Drosophila melanogaster: one gene and its partners. The protein of the gene in region 1 interacts with the protein of each later gene in a pairwise test. Each region holds a gene or a part of one and is shown in the gene's direction. Other genes may lie near its edges. The genes, in order: CG13287, Cpr50Ca, Polr1H and Tango11.

Region 1 (3,852 bases):
AATATTAATTAAAAATGCAACTCATATGGCAAGTGGAACAATTAGCACCTGAAAATATGCAAACATTAAATTGCCGCTGCTGCAGCCACATGGCTGCAAGCAAAAAGTGCAACAAAAGAGTCGAAAATTTAAATAAAATATACATACACCCCATAGCTGCAAACCCTGTTCACGACTGACCATAACAGACACATATTTTGTCCTGGCAATGGCCACATCCTTGCATCCGGTCTGCCAGGATCTAGGGTCTAGCCGGAAAAAAGGGAAATAAACGGGGGATCAGAACGAGACGGAAAACGAACGGAAGGCATTGCACAATTTGCTATTGTTGCATGTGCATATTTACTGGGCACTTGCCACTTTTTCCACATAGCGCTAACTTAACTGACAAATAAATATTTCGGTATGTTGAAAGATTTCGACGCTCAACAGTCGCCTACAAAACGGGGGAACCCCAATTCCAGAGCGTGTGTGTGTGTGTGTGTGTGTGTAGTTGGCAATATGTAAAAGCTACGCGCAGCATATACTCAAAATCCAAGCCAGCAGCAACAAACGCAACAAATACACCAGCACAAAACATGGCCACATATTCACACAATCTCGCTGGAACTGCTAAAAAATCGACAAAAACAACCTGTTCGGAAACACTTGCAACAAGGACATCACCACCGACAGAGACGGGCATAGAGCCAGACAGAGAGGGCAGGTCCTGCCATATTTTCGGGGTGGGTGTGAGAGGCAAATCGAGAGAGAGAGCAAGCGAGAGAGCGGCCAGGATCAAGCACCGCCTCCTTGCGAAAAGAGATGAGTGCACAGTGGGCGGAACAGGGAAAATAATTTAGTAAAATATAATGTTTTGGTAAAAATCTAAATGGAAACCATGCGAAAAAGTTTTATTTATTGTAAAATATTTGAAAACATTTACCTAATGAAGTTTAAGCGCAACTACTTCAAGATATTCAACTCTTTTGAATGAATAAGAGTAACTTCTCATATAGATGACCCTAGTTTCAAATCCTTCTAAGTTTAATCAATTAAGTTTTTTAAATAATATCACACAACTTTAACAACAACATTGCCCATTGTACCAATGCATCACATACAGCACAACAAGGTTTTCGAACAAGCCAACCTGTCCGTGAATGCTAGCCAACCAGGAGTCGTCCTGGCTAGGACTCGCACAATAAAACCACAGAATATGTTCGCCAACTGGCAAAGCAGATGGAACGCTGGAGAGACGGAGAGTGGGCCAAAGAAAGAGAGAGAAGACCGCTGGAGAAAGAGAGGACAAGCGGGAGTGAAAGAGCAAGAGCAGGAACATAAGGGTGGTGCTCTCTGCAGGACCTGAATCTGAACAGACTCCGAGCAGAATCAGGACAGATGGGCCAAGTGCCGCGAGTGCGGAGAGTTGCTTTTTCCCAATTGAATGGGACAATATGAGAATACGAGAATTCCAACTGGACGCGGTGGTTGTGGCAGCGGGTACTTAAAGAGGAACAGATTGCGGGCGGCCAGCAGTCGAAACTGGAATTTCGAATCGCAAGGAACTGTATAGAACCAAAGACCCAAAGTCCCTACCAGAGCCAAGTGAAAGTCGAAAAGTGTATTGAAGTGAAAATGAATCTGCTCATGGATAGCATGCCGTCGCACGCGAATCCTGGCCAGCGTCGCCCAACGCCGCCTCAGCACGCCGAGCTTAGGATCTCCACATCACCGCAACAGTCACCGCAGCAAAATCAAACCACTAATCACAATAACAACAATGAGACACCCACATCGCCACCGGGTGGAAAGACCACTCTTAAACGCGCCTTCGATGTGGCCTTCCTCATGATGCCCGATGAACGGATTAAGCAAAAGCAGGCCGAGAAGCAGGCTCGCCTTCAAGAGGCACTGCACCATCATCACCACCAACAGCAGCAGCAGCAGATGAGCCACTATCCCACAGATTTGTCTCCTCGAGGAACCTCCTCGCAACCACCTTCGCCGGCGGCACTGGAGTACATTAGTCTGTTGGAGGCACGCCAGCGGTATCCACAGATCAGCATCCGTTCGCCGCGGGTTTATGATGATCCCAGTGTGGTCATACCCCTGGTGGATTCTCCAGAGGCACCATCAACTTCTTCACCACCACCGCCCATGCGCAGCGCTTTTACCAAAGTAGCCTCCTCGTCGCTGTCCACTTCATCATCCTCACCATCGACCACTTCACGTTTGGAATCACCCGTGGATGCGGGAGCTCCGCCCTTGAGTCCCGATCAGCTAAGCTGTCACTCGATAAGTCCACCATTGGTGACACCTCCACCAAGAACCAATAGCGGTGGCCAGAATCCAAATCCCCTGCCAGCAAATCCCATAGTCTACCACAACTTCCGACCGGAGTATCAGTTCAACGGAGCCTTCCAGGCGGTGAATCCCATGCAGGCTCTGCAGGCACAGCAGCGCCTTAAGCAGCAGTTGTTGTACACCCGTCCACCAGGACCTGGAAATCCCAATGGAGGAGGACCTACTATGCAGGCAAACTCACCACCGGGTCCACCGTCGGAGTTCCTGCATGCCTATCCCGGATTTGCTCCGCCACCACATCCATTCGCGGTATCCCAACCTCTCCAGAATCCCGCTGCAGCAGCCATTCTCTCCACGTTGATTCCACCCACATTGGCATCCACTTTTACACTGACCGCTCAGAATGTGTGCGCCAAGTGCAACATAAGTTTCCGGATGACCAGTGATCTGGTGTATCACATGCGATCCCATCACAAAAGCGAAGTGGCCTGCGATCCAAATCGACGGAAGCGGGAGGAGAAACTCCGATGTCCCGTCTGCCAGGAGACTTTCAGGGAGCGACACCATCTAACGCGACACATGACCGCCCACCAGGACAAGGCCAGTGATCACCAGCCGCAGCTGGAGGACTCATCCTCATCTGCCGGTGACAACGAGATCATCAACGTGGTCGGCGGCACACCGCCAGGTCGCCGAATGGGTGGTATGCCCAAATGATCGAAGCATTTCTTCGGATATTTTTAAGTCATCAAGTCAACTAACTCCCCAAAAACAAAACCCGTTGCCCATTTTCGATTGTGATATTAACTTTAGTTTCCCCCACGCTCCGATTTAATTTCCCCTTAGCTTTAAATGTAGTGCAATTTGTATCTTAAATATGTAACTGGATCTCCCTGTATCTCAATTAATTATCTTTCTTATCGAAGGACCCGAAAGGATCTTCAGTTTCATCATTGTAAGATATTATGGCTAAGTTGCAAATTCAATGTGTGGCTGAATGTTTCAATAAAAATCTAATTGTTATGCCAATTCAATAGTAATCACGTTTTATTAATAAAATTTGGGTTAATGGGAAATTTTATCTTGTAGTAGATCTGAAGTATTCTAAAATCATGTTATGAAAATGAGCTTGAGGATTATTGCAATCAAATATTTTTGAAAAGCTTAAACAAAAGCCAATGAGTTGTCTATGCTTTCGAAATAATGTGATTAAGCTTATATAGACGCCACCTTAATAAGAAATCCCAAAAGACAACCGAGCTTAAAATTCAATTAATTTTTGAAAAAAAGAATCCCAAACCAGGGATTCTAGAAGACGAAGATATCTTGATTTGGCAGCATATGGAGTTCTTTGAATTCCTGGCCGGACAACCCATTATTTCGATTGTGAGGTAGACCGAAAACATAGGCTCCCAGGACCAGAAAAAGCACCAGATTTTCGCGGGTACCAAAAGTAACATACGCCATGTTAGTAGAGCGAAGAATATGTTCAACTTATTAGCGCAGTGAGGCAGTGAATTCTGTAGTTGCGATTCAGCAGTATTCATTTTGGCCGCATGCAGCAAT
Region 2 (4,737 bases), on another chromosome or scaffold:
GACTGCATCCGCAATGCAACTTTCTGTGTGAGATTTCCGCCTATTGCAGCTGCAACTGGCGACGCATCTGGTGGCCACATGGGGGTTTCCGGCCGGAGGGAGCGGCTCCTCCAACTTCTGGCGCATCTTCGGTGTCTGAATTTATTACGAGATTGCAAATCTCCACCGCGATTACAGCAATTATGTGGCTTTCGGTAGGAGGTTGGCACATTGCCCGAGGAACGTGCCCAGAGGTGTGGAATTAAGACTCTCGGCGGAAGGGGTAAAGAAAGTGATGTCGAAAGCTCTGGTCATGAAAAAGAAACGATTTTATAAAATTGATAAAAATTATATGTATTCATTAGTAAGCTGGGAATATTACCCCCCCCCCCCCCTTGCTTAAATATTAAGTATACGCCCCTGGTCGCTTACATGGCTCTCCTCTAATAACTCAATTTCAACACCAGCAAAAACAAATGTGAAAGTGCCAAAAGCCGCCTCCCCCCCTCTCTCTCTCACTCTCTTTCCCGTGGTAACCACCAATCATAGCCAAAAATCCCCAATCAGCTCAGCATCTGGCCCAGGTTTCGATGCACTCGAACAGATAGTCCGACCTCGCCACTCTAAGCCGCTTTAAAGTCCCACCATGGGCTGCAATAAAATAATATAAAATGAAATAAAGATAATTTGTCAGCTACTTCATTTGCGGCAGCGCGTGCGTGACTCGCGGTTGCCTGTTGCATAATATCTGCAGTTGAACTTTCCCAGGGGTTAGCACTCTCTTACCCACCAGTCACCACATCACACCAACCAAGGGGTATAAGTTCTATAAATCAAATATAAATATCAATATCAAACTTATAAATATATAAGTTCCTATAAATCACATAATCAGGCTGGGCCAAGCCTTATAGGAAATGCGTGGCAGTGCATTTCACTTGTTGCCATTAATAAATTAATTATACAACCATGACGGCACTGAGCTCAGTTTTATCCCCAGACGCACGCACTCTAAGCCCTCGTAAAAAATAAAGAAAAATGCACACAGATGGTAGGAAAACTTGTACATTTCGTTGTCATCAGCACAGCAACAGCGCATATTGTGCAAATGTTGATGGTCAAAAGTTGGCTAACGCCTTGGCCAAAGCCATGGCCAAAAAAGCAGCTCGAAATGCAGCCAGCTAAAAGACAAATATCAAGTGAGTGGTGAGGTTTTCAATTTTCAAAAGTCGAAAAAGAAATGCTCTGTTTGAAGAATATATATATCAAATATAAAGACAACTTTAATAAACTCTTAATCATTGGAATTTATAAAAAATGTAACAATTAATATAGGTAAAATCATTTTTGGCATCGTAGCACCTGTCTAATTTCCATTTATCCCCACAGATTTGGAATGCAAATGAATTTCCCCGAATAAATTGCAAATTCGACTTCCTTCTGAGCGTTGCAAATTTAATCAGCAGCTTATTATGCCCCACACATAAAAAAATAAAATTCAAAAAAAAAAGAAGGAGGAGAAAAAATATGGAAAATGCAACAGCAATACGCCAGACATGGCCGAGTCTTTTCGGCAAAGGCAAAGGAATGGAAATGGAAAATGGGAAAAGCGAGGCAGCGAAAAGCGAGCCAACAACAAACCGGCTGTCTCCGTGAAAACTGCGCGGCCCCGAACACACACAAAACTCAAGTGGCGCGAAAATTCGAGGCACAGTTGCAACAGCAGCGCGCAAGCGTGCGGTTTTCCTCCACAGTTTTTCCAGCCAAAAGTAAACAAGGCAAAGCGAAACGAAACGAAACGAAAACTCAAATTAAAAGTCGCATTAAATAAATGAGAAACGAACGAGGACTGCGACGAGCAAGTTTAAACAAAGCTCAAAGACAAAGTTGAATGAATATAGTCAAAGTTTGCTTTTCTCCGCAAAGGATATGAGAAAATCATTTTGTAAAAAAAAAAAAAATATAAAGAGCTTGCATTACATTTAACCAAAGTGCTGGCTAACAAGGATATAATATACCTTAAAATAAATTAAATCAAAAAAATATAAACGCATCAAGTTAAACGTCGAGCAAATTAATGAATATTTTACTGAATGACAAAAGTGAAACTTATAAGTGAAACATCTAAGGACGAATAACGAAAACGATTAGTTAGATAGTTAAATTTGTTAAATTAGATTTTATGGTCTTGTTTTATCTCAAAAATCTCTTAGTTACTAATGAAAAAGATTTTGGTAAAGAATATAAGATCAGAAATAATTCTCATTAAACATAATTCATTCATTTGTCATTCATTTGATTTTCTAAGAACAGGAATTTTTGAAATCGCAGGATACTATTTTTCTGCCTTCATAGTTTTAAAAAGTACTCATTTAACACAGCCTTTGCAGATGTGTCATCTGTTAAAGTACCATATAATGATTTTTGTTTTACTAATTTGTTAATTATGATGTTTCATAATTATGGGGAAATGTTTAAAACAGTTAATATGAGAATTTGAAAAGCACTTTTCGCAATTAGCTGCTGTGATAGTTAACCAAACTGAACGAATACTTTTCCAGGTCCGACAAACAAACAATAAGGTTCAACGCTGAACAAACTCATTTACAATTTGTATTTAAAATACCAAGACGGCGAAAAACAGCGTGGGAGAATAACAGAAATTTCAACAACAATTACAAATTGAGCTGCCACTTTTGTGGAAACGCGAAAAGTGCAACGTGCAACTTGACGCCTCATTTGCCCGAACTTCCGCCGACATCCAAGGAAAATGGAAATGGCTATCTGCGGCGGTGGCATCCCCACCTTAATGGTAAGTACATGGGGTCGGTTCGTTTCGGGTCGGGTTCATCATTCTGAAATTTTAATATAAATAACCGACAACTGCAAGGGCCATCGAGGCGTGAAAACAACAAGCGCCAGTGGAGAGACTTCGAGCGAAATTTCTGGGCGTGGGCCTGGGAAAAGTGTCGGCCTTCGATGCAGCGATTTTCATTTTCTGGCCAGGAAATGGACGCGGCCAGTCACTGCATATGGCGGGCTTCTTCTCATTTTCCTGGCGCACGCACATTTCGCAAGCAATTTATTTTCATTGCACTTGAACTTCAATTAGCCCGGAAACCAGCGAATACTGGCCAGACTTCGTTTAATTACCAGGCATTAAAATCATAAAGCGTATTCCAAAGTATCTTTGCTCAAAAATTCGTTATGCAACTGGCATTGATTGTTTGTGCTTTTTGGCCAAAACGCTCTCCATTTTATGACCCCGGTCTTTATGAAGGCCCGCTGTGGTTATCTAACCGAATCGACATTGGAATCCATATCCAACTGCCGGGACGAAAGGAAAATGCACCAGCAGCATTTGCAATCGAAACTGGAAATTTGCAATTTAAGTGGATGGAAAAAAAAAAAAAAAAGTTTGCGACCATTGCTGGCATTTCTTTTCAGCCAAGTTTCCTTGTGGCCCAGGAAGCACTCGTACCCCCAGCACTTTCTAGACCCGTAAAGTCTTTTATGTGCATTGAACTTGACTTTGCCGCCGGTTTTTGGCCAGGGCAAAAAAGACCAAACTGGTTCTAACTGCCACGGCCACTGCAGTTGGTAACTACCCACGTTGCACCACCCACATCTCACTGCCACATTAACAATTAGCCCAAGCTGTGCCTTTTGCCTGCCTGCTACCATTTCTTCTGCTGTCTCGACTCGCTCTCCGTCTTGGTCTTGCTCTTGGTCTGGAACTTAGTCTTGGCCCTGGGTCTTGGCCCACTCCACTCCACACCATACCACTCGTCTGGGTGGCACGTTTTTCCGGCTTGTTGCATACAACAAGAGACGATGCCGTAAGCGCATATTGCAGCCAACAATTAAACAAACTTGTGGCCAAACAGCAATTACAGAAACCATTTAATGAAGCAACCTGCTCGACATGAAAGAAAGCGAACGAGAACAATAAAGTCCAGAGGGAATGTGTTTGTATTGATTGGGTTAAAGACATGGAACTTTAGAGAAAAAATTATAAATAAATAAAAACATACACGAATCCAAAACTTAATCAAATCAAACAAAAGATAGTGATTTAGTTTATATTAACCCAAAACGAATTTCCACAAAATAAATGATTTTTCTAAAACTAATTGAATGCTGATACAAAAAACACCTTCTGTTTGCCCACTGAGATGTTGATTCCCTTGTAACTAAGAAGCCAGAAGATGATCAAAACTAATTGAATTGCTTTTACAAGTTTATCACCTCCATGCCATGCTGACTTTTATTATTGGTTATTTGTCTTGAAAAAATAAACCGAGTACAATAAAAGCCAGTTCAGCACTTTTAAACTGCCAGTACAATAAATACAACTTGTAAACAGCTGTAAAACTCGAAAGCCAAATGGTAAAAACGTAATTTAATCAAACTTTAGCTCTCGCAGCTCTCGCTGCAAATATTACAGTTTCAATTTCCCAAATAATGTCAAAACAAAAGAAAACTTTTAAAACGCCATGCAGATAGTAGTATTAGAAGTAGGAGTAGAAGTTGAAGTAGTAGTTTCGCTCCTTTTGCCTCTCTTAGCGGATCGTAAAGGAATTGTTAACTAGTTTTCGCAGCACTTCTAATGCCATAAAATCCGACTGAGCAAACTGAAACGAACGCAAATAGCAACAATTTTTATCGCTTCTTTGCATTGAGTTTTCAAACGAATCTAGCGCGTGTCCCATCTGAAATGAAAAGACACTTTTTCCGGGCGAAAAAAAAAATAAACGC
Region 3 (2,991 bases), on another chromosome or scaffold:
ATCAATATATTCCTGCGCTATGGCTACCTGGGAATCTCCATGCGTGTGATACCGCTCAATGACAACTCGGAGCCGGATCGCTGGGTGTTTAAGGAGCCCACCAAAAACATCTATAGGGTAAGGGACTTAAGGCAGAGTTAAGCTTACATTTAATAAATTAAATGGCGTTGATGAACTCGGAATTGTTTGTATTAACCTTTAACCACAATCACCATAATTATTTGGAGTATAATCAAAATTTTAAAATAGGGTTTAAAGTTGTTATCACTTAAAACTATTTTTAGTTGTAATTATATTGTTCACTTCCGCCACGTTTGTCGTTAGAATGAGCGCTTATTATATTTGTTTGATCAGATTTAGGAAAACGATCATTATATACGATTATTCAAGTATGTCACTTGATATTTATTACCTGATAATTGAGCTGACTAGACAATTAGATAATTAATGATTTTTTTCTTTCAGAATCTGAGTGGCCTGGCGGAGAGTCATGAAGACACCACGCCCGGAATCTTTCATGGAGACTTTCACATGGAGTTCTGCGAGAATCGGAGGCAACTGTTCCAGGCCTACTTCCGTGACTTTTCCATTGAGCGAATGGACAAACCGTGGGAGGCATTTACTGGCGGATGGTTTCCGGATAATGCGGCCAAGAAGCTGGGCATCAATACATCTTTCATCCAAGGCGATTACTCGTATGTTTTGGTGAGGGTGGTGCGCTTCAGGGAAACGGGGCGTCTTAACGCTGAGATTCCGGTGCACCAACCCTTGGAGCCGGATGTGCGATCGAGAATGGATCAACTGCAAATCGGAAATATAACTTCCGCAGTGCGATTTATGGAAGATGTGGGCACCCACTACGTAAACTCATACACCACCGGCAATTCGCTGTATCAGGTGTTTGTGTACAGCAGGAAGAACTACAGCATGATCAAGGAGCGAATCAAGAGTAAAGGTCTGAACGGACTGTCCAAGTTGGATCTTTACAACTACTTTGCGCCCTGGTTTGCCGCCCATCTGGGCCAGATTCGATCGGCTAGTGCCAATGCTACAGTGGAAAGATGGGCGAGAAGGAAGCTGCAGTACGAGTACTATGTGGTCAAGTATGTGACCCTGCTGAAACTGCACGGTAATAGTACTCTACTGCGATCCCTGGACTCGCTGCTCGGCAACGATGCCATACTGCAGTTGGACCTCAAGTCGCTGAAGCCCATCTTCCGGGAGGAGCCGGAAAAGGAGAGCTGGTACCACGAGGTTCTCGACAACAATGTGAAGCTCTGGGAGCTTAACATGCCGCAGAGTCATCCCACCCGATAGCTGCATTTTAAATATATATATACTGTGCGATATGTGGCAGCCAAGGATCAATAGTTCCTAGATGCTTAGTTGTAGTTAGGAACCTCTAGTGCGTAGTTAATGTTCTGCCTGTGATAGTTTTAGGTAGTTTAATTGGAACACAGTACACATCCGACTTGCATTTCAGCTAACTAGACCGTAAGATCGCCTTATTGATGTAATAGTTTTGTAAACTTTAATACAAAGTAAAGATAAAAGTAAAAATCTTACTGTTTTCATAACTTGATATTGGCTATTAAAATCTAACTGTTTTCATTACGTAATATTGGCTATGAATATCAAATACTATTTTGAAAGTTTATTTTGAATAATTGATTTTGATTAAGAACCGGTAATCGAAACGGGTAAACGGCTCTACCCGTTTCATCAAGGCTTTCAACCAGACTTATTCTAGTTTTCCACCCTTACGTATTTAGTATATGAATCAAGTATATTTTTAATACCGTGTGGTATATTTCAAACGGTTCAGTTACGCTCATACTGAAATCCGAAATAGCACGTGCGGTTTTTGTATTTTGATTTTGATTTTGGGTGATATATACTGGCATGGATATTTTTTCCAATTGTCCGGGCTTTTGCCCCTCCTGCGGCTCCATTCTGCCCGAGCTTCAAGTCAAGGGCAATGTGATTTGCTACAACTGCAAGAAGGAGTTTCAGCCAGATGGTAAATCCAGAAATTACAACTTTGTTTAATTTATTTAACACTTAAAAATAGTTTACAGCGGCGAGAAGTCCGAGTTTACCATACACTTCAACACCTACGATCCCAGCAAGGTGTTCAACAGGACGAAAAGGGAGTCGGAATCGGACGCGGATGGCCCCGTTGTGGAGAGGAAGTGTCCCAAGTGCAACCACGACAAGATGTCCTATGCCACCCTGCAGCTTCGATCGGCGGACGAAGGCCAGACGGTGTTCTTTACCTGCCTTAAGTGCAAGTAGGTGTCCTGATAAACATATTCCTTCACTTCCACAACTAATCACACACATTCTACCTTGCAGATTCAAAGAATCCGAAAACTCTTAGTTGCTAGCAATGTCCGTGTAAATAGTCCTAGATTAATGAAAATAATCATGCTCGACGGCCTGAGAAATATAGAATTTACCAATTATAATACCTAACCGGTGTCAAACTTGAAGCAGAACCCACCTCGCTGGCCTTGAGTCGGTTTTTGGGATTGTAGACCACCAGATTCGAGACCAGATTGATTTCCACCGCATGTGTGCAGCTGGGAAACAAGTTGTCCCAGTGAATGCCCACGGAGTTGGGAAACCTACGTCAAGAATATTACGGATTAAGTAATCATAGACGGTAAGAATGCCTACCGTATCTTGCTGTAATCCGGCAGAGAAGTCAGCTCTGGCCACTGATTCAGACGTGGGCTGCCCAGAGTGCGAATGATGATGGCTAATTGCTCGATGTCGGTGGTTCCCGCAAACAGGGGCACTCCGCGTAGCATCTCCGCCACAACACAACCTGGATAGCAATAATGTCAGCCATAAGGATATATGTAAACCCATCAAAGAGTCATGGCTAACCTGCCGCCCACATATCCACTCCGGTTCCATACTTCTGGCTGCCAAATAGAATCTCTGGCGCTCGATACCACCGGGTTGAGACCTGAGGCGAATAAAGGC
Region 4 (5,335 bases), on another chromosome or scaffold:
GTGGGTGCTGCTTATCAGCTTCATAAAACACACAGAAACAGAAGCTCGAAATTTGTAATAAAGGTAGGACAGTTACAGTTAATTATGTAGTTTAATTGGTTGTAACGATCGAAATTAAATAGAACTAATATTTCGCTATGCTTTTATATTGAAAGCAATTGATTTCAAAATTCTAAACTGCTGATGGTTGGAATACTGATCAAATATAGCTAAGCACTTATCCACCGGCCAGCAAAACTGGTTTGTGCTGGAGAACTCACCTCGGAAACCTCTGGGATGGGTGTGCGTGCCTTGATGGCGGCCTTGATGGGCAGCGAGGAACCAGATCCCGATCCGGTCAGCGGACCCACCGACGACCTCGGCCGGCTGGAGCGACGGGTGCGCGGGCCAAGATCGGGCGAGGGCGGTGCGACGACCTTGTTGCGTGACGGGGAGGCACGTGTCCGGGTGGCGGGACCAGCGGTGGCGGTGGCGGTGGCGGTGGCACCCGCAGCTGTCACGGAGCCCGTACGTCGGGTCACCGGCAGGAGGCTGGGCTGCTTGGACTGGGCCAGAAGTGGACCGCTGGACACGTCTTCCGTGCGACGCGGGCGTCTCAGGCGTCGATCCATGGTGTATGAATTGCGGTCGAAAAAACGTGCTGCAAAATGGATATGATCAGTCGTTGTGCTCGGCGAGTGCTGCATGTTATTTATAGTTTACAAAATACACACAATCTATTAATGTACTTAAGTAACGCTGTGGTTTTCTCTAGTTTCTTTGCTTTCTTTATTTCTCTAATTTTCTGTATTTATTTGTGTTTGCGCGCCGAAAGGAAAAGCGACGTCGCTGCCGCAACTGTACATTCCGCAGGCAGCGACGCTGGCAGAACGCGCTCTCTCTCTTGCTCTCTTCCTCTTGGCTGGCAGTTTTTAAACGATGTTTAACTTAGCTTAAACAGCTTTTAACGCTTCACAACTTAGTAACTCACTTCTGATGGGATTTATTTGTAGTTTTTCACTTTATGGGGCTATTGAAACGCCGTAAATTCAGCATAAATCACTTGATAAAAAAGACGCGCGTCTAGTTGTCGGCGGATGAGAAAATTTTGTTGTAAAATGAGCGCGGCCCACTGCGTTGGTATTTTTCAGTGTTGGCTAACGCCGAACGGCGCCTAACAGCACGCAGCGTGTCGTTAACAGTGGTTTAGTGGGCACTTTAAGACAATTTAAAATGTATTCAAGGTTAATTATTTTAAAGTATTAAAAGTACTTGTACTTATTTTTACATTCCCTTAAACATTAATCGAACCATACCAATGCGCAAGTATTATAAATCGATAGAAAACTTTTTGGAGTATTTGATCTTTGCAAAGACTAACAGTACTCATTTTATTTACATATGTAGGTTATAAAGACCAAAGTTGTCGCTTAAATCGAGTTGTAAATTATTTGTTCAAGACAGAAGAATACCGCAAACTTTTCAAGAAACAAAAACATATTAATAAAATGAATCAAAACAACTGAAATAACTTCTTAAATACCTAGTTTTCTACTGATATTGAGGTAGATAATTAATTTGGCTAAAAAGGAGCTAGAGTGCCGGATCTGTAGAGTGGAAGTAGAGTGACTGTCATTCCTGGTATTATTTAGCACATTCTATATCAATCTCCTCACACACATAACAAAAGGCAGGAGAAAAATTGTAAATTATTACGGATTTCTCGGACATTTTTCTGTCATTTCCCGAGCAATGTAAGTAGAAAGCATTCGAAAAACCCAATACGCAACAAACACACGCACACAAGCCGGACGAAAATGTTGCGCTTGCCAAATTCTGGTTATTAATTTGTTATGAAAACGTCTCTCTCACGGCCGCCTTCTACCTAAAAAAAAAAAATTGGACAAACAACGAAAAACCAAAAGCAAGTGAGGCCCATTGGATCAGTTGAAAGGATTCCCCAGGACATCGCCATGGTGACCCCGCAATCGCCGACGCCCATGTTCAATGGATTGGACGATGATCTCTACAGCGACGCCAAATATGCCCACGAGATTAACGACAAGATGCGGGTTCCCAAAAGAATAAAGGCCACCGGGGAGTATTCCAACGAGGATCTGCTGCTGTCCAACCAGAACGGGATGATCAGCTCCTGGAACTATCACGACAAGATCGACATGAATGTACCGGATCGAATTGTGGTCCTGGGCCACAATCAGCATCTGGAGACGCGATCTGCTCCGCGGGAAATCCAGCTGGAGAACTCCATTCTGCCCAAGAACCCATCGGTCGGATTGGTGCGCGTCCAGACGCCACCGCGCATTATCACCCTCACCGATCAACACTTTCCCTCGGCCTCCGAGGAGAGCTCGCCCATCCGGGCCAATGGTCATCATTTGTATGGTAATGATCTCGACGAGGACGCCGACGATGAGGAGGTCCATGCCACCCAATATGTGCGTGCCAATGGAGTCGCCCGTATGGGATTTCAAGGCAATGACACCAATTCCGTTGAATCGGACTCGCAGGTGAGTAAAATATGCCATACAAGCAACAATTTTCCTTTAGTTTTTCAATTCAATTGCAAGTGCTTGTAAATTAAATCGATGGGCAGAATGAGCAACTCTGTGATTTCTGTTAAAGAGCACTTCATTTGATGGAAGTCTAGACCCTAGCGATCCACACATGACGCAATAAAACAACCAAAATTGTTAATAGATAATAGATAGATAGCGATCACACTGCGCTTGCCACCCATTCAGTTTGCAAAGAGATTACCATGCCTGCTGGTTTTTATTGAATTCCTAATACGGCTTTGATAAGACGGCTGACCCAATTTCCATCGACTGTGTGGAAACACACTCTCACTTTTTGTTAATCGCTGGAGTAGCCGTGTGCCTCCGGTCGATCCTCGCCCTCCTGTGTATCCTTAAGGCGCCTCGCAAAAGGACGACACTTCCAGATGTCCACCTCGGTGGCCAGGCACTTGCGAAAATCGAAATCGCACAGACCCAAACTGTACGAACCCTCCATGGGCTCGAAGTAGTGAAGGCCACGGCCAATCTTAATGACCACTCCCGAGCTAAGAACGATCTTGCGATCGTGCAAACTGTCGTCCATCTGGAAATTCATCTGGATGTTGCCACCGGCCAGATCGCTCTGCATTTGCTGCAGCATCTGCAACTGATTCTTGGGCGCCGTCGCATCTGGGCGCGTAGTGAGGCGAATATACTTTAGATAGCGACAGTTCTTGACCAGCACCTCGAAAAAGTTAAGCAAATTCCTAAAGTGTGGTGGCTCCGTGAGGTGTGGCTCGTTGAGATGGGCCTCCCGAACCGCATCGTCCAAATACGGACCAAACAGCCGCTGGTAGCTTCTGCCCCTGGCACCCTGCTCGATGGTGATGTGATCCAGCATACGGCTGGTGTGCAAGTGACCCTTGACCTGATCCCTCAGCTGTTTGGCCCGCGCCTCGTACATCTTCAAATACTTCCCACACAGCTGGCGGCGACTCGGCTCCGCATCGGCCATCTGGGACAATTTGAAGATGCTCTCCTCGTAGAGTAGTATCGCCTCCATAATGTGACCCGTCTGCTCGCATTTCAGCGCGCTGATTATCGCCTCCAGTTTCGGCAGCTCGCCATCATCCACTTCTGCTACGTTGGGACTGGTTGTCATTGCTGGGATCGAAAGAAATTGGTTGGCTATACAGAAAATTTCGAGTTGGGCGTTTTTTTTTTTTTCGAATGTTTATTGCTTATATTGACACCGGAAATATTTGGGGGAGCTCTGAAAAATGACTCTTGCTTCACATTGATAACAGAAAACTTTCACAAAGCAAACACTTAACATGGTACACACATCTAAATCCTATTTGGCGCAACTTATCTTTGACTACCTTATGTGTTCCAGTTGACCACAGGCAGTGCCAGCAAGCGCTCGCAGCTGAATCAACAGCAGCACAACAACCTGGATGCCTCAATGCTGGCGCACCGAGAGGGCACGCCCATGGGCGAGCTGACGCCCCACGAGGAGATCCTGTATCTGAGACGCCAGCTGGCCAAGCTGAATCGCCGGGTGCTGAACATCGAGATCAACAATGAACAGCGCACGCAGCGGGAGAAGATCGTCTACTGTCTGGGCCTGGCCTACTTCGTTCTCAAGACAATATTCTGGCTGAATCGCAACTAGACGCAATGTAGAGCCCACTATGATGGTTAGCGATCTGCGCTGGGTGCCAAGACAACCACCTTGCTATGGACACCCTTTTTGGAACAGCTTCTTTCGTTTCTTGACTTTTGTGTTTCTTTTGTGGAAAGGCTCTGAGAGAGACTTTGTTTTTTGTTTGCCATAATTTTGTAGACTAAGCTCCGTAATAAATAAGCGCAACATCGTTCTGTTTTGTACACCGTGGAAAACGAAAAAAACAAAGGCCCCCATACTTAATTTGTAAGATCTGGCACTTAAGGAGCGTGTATCTAAATCTAAGCTTTAATCTCTACGTGTTTCATCTGAGCAGCCCCCAACACGAATCCGAATCATCACAGCAGCATTGCATTGAAAAGATATTGTTTAAAAGGGTTGTTTATATTTTAGATCTGTTAACATTTGATAATCCCAAAGTGAAAACAAGAACTTTAATGGTATTTGTATGCGAAATCCCATACGATAAATAGTTAAATATATACATAAATATAATATTATACACTAAATCCCACAGAAATCATTGCATTGATTTTTGCATAACTAGCGGAAACGAAGGAAATCCATTTAGAGTGTAGCATGAATTCATAACGATATTTAAAATAAAACGTTTAAAGTACCAAAACAAACCATATGCTTCGTTAATTTTCTACCAGGAAATAAGTAGATTTCGGTTTTCAACGCATTTAAAAAATGTATTTATTTTAATTTGTTGGTTTTCTCTTTAAATAGTACGTATAGTAATCAATTAAAACTACCGATTAAATGCAATTACATCTGCTTGTCTCATCTAACTTCCGACTTCCTCTTCTGCTATACATCTTTAGCTAACAAGACGTTAAACATTAAGTTTAATGCAAAATGACGAAAAGACCTGAGCGAAATTTCGTTCGATTCATTTGCGGTGTGTGTATTGTTTTTCGTGTATTTTGTCTGTGAAGTGGATTGTTTCTTTCCCTTTTGCCACCCGATCTTCGATCAATCGCTATCATCCAACTACTTAGAGAACAAGATGCAATTGTTTGTATCTTTTTATTTATAATGGAATTATCGTTTACTTTACACAAATAATATGCAAGGGGACTACTTTTCTCTTTCATTTTCCGAACGACTCGCCTTTCCAGGCGAAACGCCGCAGGATCGAAAAAAAAAA

What was found.
Region 2: the proteins of CG13287 (region 1) and Cpr50Ca interact in a two-hybrid assay, tested with the Drosophila melanogaster proteins (one large-scale study listed by BioGRID).
Region 3: the proteins of CG13287 (region 1) and Polr1H interact in a two-hybrid assay, tested with the Drosophila melanogaster proteins (one large-scale study listed by BioGRID).
Region 4: the proteins of CG13287 (region 1) and Tango11 interact in a two-hybrid assay, tested with the Drosophila melanogaster proteins (one large-scale study listed by BioGRID).

Annotation. Positions count from the first base shown.
Region 1 is NT_037436.4:5,880,790-5,884,641, forward strand, and holds CG13287 (uncharacterized protein), read left to right. Parts: upstream 1-1,514; 5' UTR 1,515-1,617; coding exon 1,618-3,003; coding exon of another isoform or gene 3,004-3,030; 3' UTR 3,031-3,301; downstream 3,302-3,852.
Region 2 is NT_033778.4:13,768,226-13,772,962, forward strand, and holds the start of Cpr50Ca (cuticular protein 50Ca), read left to right. Parts: upstream 1-1,689; 5' UTR 1,690-1,748; intron 1,749-2,540; 5' UTR 2,541-2,749; coding exon 2,750-2,791; intron 2,792-4,737.
Region 3 is NT_033777.3:21,776,678-21,779,668, reverse strand, and holds Polr1H (RNA polymerase I subunit H), read left to right. Parts: upstream 1-1,821; 5' UTR 1,822-1,902; coding exon 1,903-2,020; intron 2,021-2,071; coding exon 2,072-2,291; intron 2,292-2,355; coding exon 2,356-2,380; 3' UTR 2,381-2,455; downstream 2,456-2,991. Other genes in the region: tsl (torso-like), read left to right, coding at 1-117, 466-1,317; CG6800 (uncharacterized protein), read right to left, coding at 2,456-2,627, 2,680-2,830, 2,893-2,991.
Region 4 is NT_033778.4:21,716,253-21,721,587, reverse strand, and holds Tango11 (transport and golgi organization 11), read left to right. Parts: upstream 1-1,624; 5' UTR 1,625-1,733; intron 1,734-1,742; exon of another isoform or gene 1,743-1,904; 5' UTR 1,905-1,952; coding exon 1,953-2,507; intron 2,508-2,755; exon of another isoform or gene 2,756-2,853; coding exon of another isoform or gene 2,854-3,657; exon of another isoform or gene 3,658-3,829; coding exon of another isoform or gene 3,830-3,832; intron 3,833-3,891; coding exon 3,892-4,170; 3' UTR 4,171-4,808; downstream 4,809-5,335. Other genes in the region: LBR (lamin B receptor), read right to left, coding at 261-686; CG30398 (uncharacterized protein), read right to left, coding at 2,854-3,657. UniProt on the Drosophila melanogaster protein: May play a role in mitochondrial and peroxisomal fission.